2 linked regions of the Yarrowia lipolytica genome follow. The protein of the gene in region 2 interacts with the protein of the main gene of each other region in a biochemical or structural test. Links are inferred from orthologs where the notes say so. Each region holds a gene or a part of one and is shown on either strand. Other genes may lie near its edges.

Region 1 (3,280 bases), on a different chromosome or scaffold from region 2:
AGAGTAAGAACGAACCCCAGTCACGAGTTGGACTGTTGTTTCGGTCGTCGCTATACATATAAAAGATACATATACAGATATGAGTGGGTAGTGTGTGCACCAACGTGTGTCTCATGATGCAAGTTTATGGCAAGAAGATGTTTTATATTGCTATTCTCTCCTGTTTATGAGTTTCTTCATCACCAACGATAGTATATGTGTATATCACAGCAAATACACCTCAAATACTAAGTGGAATCGTTTCTTGACCTTTCACACAGTTGATTGTACCCTGCGACAGTCTTCTGACCTTAGCTATTTGTAGCTTCTAGTCAACTTGCCTTCAATCAGAGCTACACTAGACACTGCATTCGACTCTCGTTTCTATATCTATCTTTGTCGAGTTTCAGCACCAGTCATCCACAACAGCTAACATCTTCGTCAAATTTCTCATTGTACATTCTTGCAGGCTTTTCTTTATCTCATTCTCTTACATACTAAAGAGCTGGCTTCGCAGACCTTTCTTTTTTATCCATCTATAACACCTACCATTTACTCCTTAGCAGCAAACCGCTCGACATCGTAGGTGAAGTCAAAGTAGGAGGGGTCAAAGTGGTGGATTCGGATGTATCCCTCCTCTCCTCCAGAGGCGTAGGAGCCGCCATTGGGGTGGGCAACGACACAGTTGAGGGGACCGAAATGGCCCTTGACTCGGCCAACCTCGTCCTCAAAGATCTTGTGGTAGAATCGGGCCTCAAACTTACCATCTCGAGAAGAGGTGGTGGTAACATCCTTGGCGTCCTGTCCTCCTCCCAGAATGACAAAGTCCTTCTTGCTGGTGATGCATGCCGAGTTCATGGAAGTATCGGTCTTGTAGGTCTTGAGCAGCTTGAGAGAGTCCACGTCTGTCAGTCTAGCGGTCTTGTCCTTGGAACTGGTGATGACGTAGGTCTTGTCTGGCGAAGGCTGCAGATCGGTGATGGGGAACTTCTCCTCGTGGATCTGTGTGGAAGCAATGAACTCGCCGGTGGCTCCGTCGTACTTGGACAGAGAGCCGTCAGCGTGGGCTGTGATGATGTACTTGCCTCCGTACGACCACACGGCAAACGAAAACTTGTCGGCGCCCTCCTCGGGCTTAATATCCATAATAGGCTCCGTCTCCTGGGTGGCGTTCACGTCGGCCTTGACGTTGAACACGGAAATGCCACCGGGGTAACCCATCATCTTCTCAGACAGAACAATGAGCTTGGTTCCATCAGGGGAAAACTCTACACGCTTGACGGTGGTCTTGAAGTTCCAGCTGTGAATCGTCTTGCCGGTCTTGATGTCCCACAGACGCGCAGTCTGGTCAGCAGAGCCAGTCGCCACAATGGTGGTGGTGGGATCAGCATCCACAGAAAAGTTGGCTCCTCCAGAACCCTCGAGAGTGCCTAGTCGCTCGCCGTTGTGAGAGTACCACACGCAGATGGTCTTGTCTCGGGCGACGGAGAAGAGCAGATCGCCCTCCCGGTTGTACTTGAGCTGGGTCAGGGGTCGCTCGTGGCCTTGCAGTAGAATAGGTCGCATTGTGATGGTGTGTTGGTAAGAGATTTTTCATCGCTTTTTTTATGTCAGTGTTGGAACTTAAATTTGGCTGAGTAAGCGCAGCAACTCAGAGGGACCCGAGGGATTGCATCGAGCGCGTTAAGAGCATCAGATGTCCATTTGTGGCCAAATCAGTCACAATAATTCATTTATTGCGTTTCTTTTTTCCGTCGAAATTCCTCTCATACCCGTAACAAGGATGAAAAAAACGAAAAATTAGAAATTTAAAAAATTTAAAATAAATTGAAAATATACACAGTCTAAAGGTAGACTATCTAAATACAATGCTCGTTCATAAAGAACATGCAGCTAGAATTGAACTAAAACACAAGTCTTGCTGATACGTTGATCGCCCATGACCGCCCTGGCAAGCTATGCTTAGCTACTTGTTCAAATACCTCAATGATGGAGCACATACTTTCTCATTACTCAGTTGTTCACTTTAGTACTTCAATCTTCTCCTCGTACTGTACTCTTACTCGTTTATACTCGCGTGGCAACAACCACATGAGTACCTCGGTCGGCCACCAGCTTGCCCTCAGAATCTCTTTCTTCCTTGGGAGCCTTGGAAACAACACCCTCGATGAACTCCTTCAGTTTGGCCTTCTCAGGCCCGTCCAAAGCAGTGATATAACTGCGAGACTCCCAGTAGTTCCACATGTCCTCGTCCGAGTAACTCAGCTGGTAGGGCAGAATCTTTTCCTGGTAGGGCATCTTGAACCACGTCTGGTTCTTGAAAGAATCCTGCCACTTGTCATGGCGGTACTGCGGAACGTTGACGTCGTATGACCACACCTTTTCGGTGGAGATCTTCTGCCAATGAGACGGAGACAGCTTGTCTAGCACCTCAATGTTCCAAATGAACACGAGCTTTCCTCCAGGCTTGGTAATTCGATGCAGCTCCTCAAGCGACTTGTGGTCGGCAAACCAATGGTATGCCTGCGCCACAATGACAGCATCGGCCCATTGGTCTTCAATGCCAGTCTCGTAGGATGATCCGATCTTGGCTTCGACCTGGGGGAAGTTCTTCTTGAAGGAGGTCAGCATTCCCTCGCTGGGCTCGACCGCAACCAGATCATAGCCATTGTTGATGATCGACTTGGTGAACTTGCCGGTGCCCACGGCCAGTTCCACCACCTTGGAGCCCTTGTGCAGCCCAGCAGTGTCAATCAGCCACTTGACGGCATCCTGCTGGAACGAAGGCCGAGCCTTGTCGTAGAGCTCGTGGTTGGCGTTGAATGAAGAGAGAGACGTGGCGTTGACAGACATTGATGGAGAGATGATGATGAAGGAGAGCGGGAACTAACCCTTATATCGTATTGGTAGCTTGTTAGTGTTGGCTCCACCACAGTTGATCCGACGGATTAACTTTGGGGAGAGCATACAGTTGCGGGGTTGTGCATGGGTGGGTTGATATCTCGTGATGTAGAGCAGGTGTGGAAAATCCGAAAAGTGCATTCTACTCGGAAGGACTCACTTTATCATTTTACAAAGTGACAGGTTGATCTATTTATCATTCATCCTACTTGAAGATTCGGATCCACTTCGCTTCACTCAACAAACTCACCGGTTCGGAAAGCCGTGTCTGAAGCGGTTGGGAGTAGGTTTAATTTCAATTAAAGGGGATTATCCATAATTATTAATTAATTCGTATTAATTCGTATTAAATTGGGTAAAATCGGAAAAAATAATACCGACTCAATTTGCAGATATGTGA
Region 2 (3,328 bases):
TCTCATAGTATGTACTGTACCTCTGGTATCCATCTGCTAACAATTATGGTATGTACACTGTACCGTATGCTACTGAGAGCTAGTGAGTAATCTCTCTCTCTGCGCTTGATCTAGAGAATTCTCGACTCTGACATAGTTACTCACTTAATGCATGACCGTCCTATACGGTATCTTACCTGAGTAGAAGTATACCAGTTGTCAGTCACAGTGTAAGTACACTATAGGTAGCTACTACTTGTACCAAGTATGTACCAAAATGTGTAGAGCTGCACCCTGTGCCTGTAACAGTTACAACCGAGGAGCTTCAATCCTTGAACTAATCTCTAAGCTTCAAGCTAGACCAACTTCAAATTACAGAAATGGCAACCACTTCTAATATCCACCATGCCATCTCGTTCCCACTCTACAACTACTCCCGCTCATATCATTCACCATGCAAACTGTATTAACAGAACTATTTTTACAACCGTAGCGGCCGTCTCCCCTTTTTGTGGCATCCTCCATCCACTCTAGTTTCTCTTCTTGGAGTAGTCGACCTTCATAATCAGGTTGTCGAAACCATGACCATCCATGGCCTCGAGAGCAGCCTGAGCGTGTGACTTGAGTGTGTAGGTAACAAAGGCAAAGCCTCGGGGTCGGCCGGTATCTCGGTCCTTGGCAACGTAGACTCGGTTGATCATACCGTACTTGCCGAACATTCGTCGCAGATCGTCGTCTGTGGCCTCCTCCGACAGGTTGGTAACTCGGAGAGTGAGCTCGTCGTCGTCGTCGCTTCGGCCACCAGCAGCACCGCCAGGACCACCAGGACCACCAGGACCCTTGTTTCGAAGATGAGGGGGAACGTAGCCTCCAGTCTTCGCAGCGCCAGCAGGCTCGTCTCCACCAAGAGATCGACCCATGCCTCCGGCAGCTGTGGATCCACCAAGAGTCTCCTTGTAAGGACACTTCGAGGTGAAATGGGGGCCCTGACAAAGTCGACACTTGACTCCCTTGTCCTCTCCGACACGAGGGGCGGCAGCAGCTGCCTCCTCCTCCTCAACCTCCTCCTCGGGCTGATCAGACTTAAGGCCAAGCACAAAGACGATATCTTCTCCAATGGTGGTGGTCATTCGGTTGGGACCAGGAGGAGCTCCAAGCTCCTTGCCGTACTTGGTCCATTTGGATCGCTCAGCAACACAGTTGAGCACCTTCTCTGTCACGCTCTGGTTCTTGATGGTGACGGACCGCTTGTACTTCTTGCCATCATCCATTCGATGAGTCACGATGGTCTTGGTGCCATCGGCGTTCTGTGTGATCTGGGGAGTAGAAAACTCGTCGTCGTCGGCCCACTTTTCGTCCATTGTGTTCTGTCGAAAGTCTTCTGAACCTGTGTCTTGATGATGGAAGGTCTGCATATTTTTCACCAACTAAGTTACCCTGGCTTTAGAGTTGTGAGAAGGGCTAACAGTACATAAGGGATATATTGGGTAAGTAGTGGGTATTATGGATGGCAGAGACTATTTTGACACTCGCATATGGGGTTTAACAACAACCCTTCTTTTGTTATATGAAAATTCATCTCAACAGTGGTTTTGGGCTAATTTTGCACCCATCTGAGATCTAGCTTCACGTGATTCGAACTTCTCCCAGCCTGCAATGTACGAGTTTTGTAGCAATGGTTGTGTGTTCGATTCCAGGTAGCGTCATATGCAAATGTAACACTGTCCAGCTATATACAGCAACTGTGGGGAAAATAAATGTCTTGGATACTTGTACCGGTACTTGTGATGCCGTAAATTATCTACAGGATTATGGCATATTTCTCCCGGCCCCTCGACGAGATCTATATGTAAAGTACAGTTCTCGTAGTTGTAAGACGAGATTGGTGATCTGAAGAGTAAACTGCGATCACCCCGTTGTACAGTATGTACAAGCACAGCCAGGACACCACGTGTAGGTTACTGTAGCTACATTACAGGAAGTACGTACCTACAGTTTGTCCAGCAGAAGAATGTCTCTTGTGTCATGTGAAGCAAAACGTCGGAAGTGAAGCAGTTCTAGAACTATTGCTGCCTCGATTTTGGGTCTACAGTAATTGGCGTAAATTCAAAAGTGAGGTAGGTACTGGATTATACCGCCCTTATAAATCGTCTCAAGTCAGATTTATGAAGTCTACTGCTCCGATATCGTCAGTTGACCCTCCGATCCACACGCATACCTGCACATGGACTGTTCTTGTGTGTCCAAGTAGCCTTTTGATGGATACGAGCAGCAAGGTTGGCAATCGATTGTGAGTCTAGAGGAGATAAGAATCCAAAGTTTGTTAAGCGAAGCAAGGTAACCACGTACGCAATGATCAGGGTGTGAGTGGGAGGAGTGGCTACTATATTACCTCCTAGGCCCTGGCGGGGACGGTTTTCTACTAAGAATCAGGGACGGGTTCAACGGCTGGGCTGTCTCAGAGCAAGGTCTCTGTTGCCTCCCCCGGTGATCATCATCAGCCTTGGGGAGAGGGAGTCGCGTGCAGAGGAACAATGGGCTGACTTGCCACGTGCACGAGAGGCTCCGACGTAACATACGGCACAGTACAAGAACCGATAATATCTACCCCGCTGCTGCCTTCTCCTCACCGCGGATTTAATTGCTGATACGGCAATATACTCGTACTGGAGGCTGCATGGTCCACTTTTTGTCTCTTACGGTGGGTACATCATTTTCTTAGAGAACCATCGGCACTAAATGGGAAGTCTAAGCTTCGGACAGCGAGAGGGTGACCATGGAGGGCTAGCAAAGAGTGATAAATAGTGCTGAAGATGTTACTTTCCTGTACATTTCGATAATGAACCAACAGACTGTTTATACTTAGAACGACACATGATCTGAGAACAAAAAACCGCACTGTGACGGCTGGAACTGCGGATGTGTTTTAGGTCTCAAAGTTGGAATTCCATCTGGACGCGCCGCACAAAACCAAGCGCCTTTTAGCTCTTGAGCTGAGCTAGTCTGGCATAAACTGTTTAGCTGCGCCCCGCTGGAACAGCTATACAAGACTTGCGAGACCCATAGGTCTGGACAATGGCAGCTATACGAGAATATGTGGGGTCGCTTCTGAACAACGCCACGGGCGGCAGCGCTAACAACTCCAACTCCGGCATCAACAGCGCGCCTGACAGCGCAGGCACTTCTCCGAAAAAACATTCCTTGGCGTTGCCCCATACTCCGCCAACAGGCACTTCAAGAGCCGCCTCTCACTCGTCGGCATTCAATTCCGCCTCCGACGAGGCCGACGACAACGTGCAGTTTCGTGACATTCACCCGGCCGCTCTGGTGCGGACCGAAACCGAGGATG

Evidence for each region.
Region 1: the proteins of YALI1_E04613g (region 2) and YALI1_A03183g form a complex in vitro, tested with the Saccharomyces cerevisiae proteins (4 studies listed by BioGRID, with this or other methods). The link is inferred for Yarrowia lipolytica from reciprocal best matches to the Saccharomyces cerevisiae genes TIF35 and TIF34.

What each region holds. Positions count from the first base shown.
Region 1 is NC_090770.1:316,628-319,907, reverse strand, and holds YALI1_A03183g (uncharacterized protein), read right to left. Parts: upstream 1,546-3,280; coding exon 532-1,545; downstream 1-531. Other genes in the region: YALI1_A03170g (uncharacterized protein), read right to left, coding at 2,047-2,832. UniProt on the Saccharomyces cerevisiae protein: Component of the eukaryotic translation initiation factor 3 (eIF-3) complex, which is involved in protein synthesis of a specialized repertoire of mRNAs and, together with other initiation factors, stimulates binding of mRNA and methionyl-tRNAi to the 40S ribosome.
Region 2 is NC_090774.1:459,944-463,271, forward strand, and holds YALI1_E04613g (uncharacterized protein), read right to left. Parts: upstream 1,395-3,328; coding exon 510-1,394; downstream 1-509. Other genes in the region: YALI1_E04629g (uncharacterized protein), read left to right, coding at 3,055-3,328. UniProt on the Saccharomyces cerevisiae protein: RNA-binding component of the eukaryotic translation initiation factor 3 (eIF-3) complex, which is involved in protein synthesis of a specialized repertoire of mRNAs and, together with other initiation factors, stimulates binding of mRNA and methionyl-tRNAi to the 40S ribosome.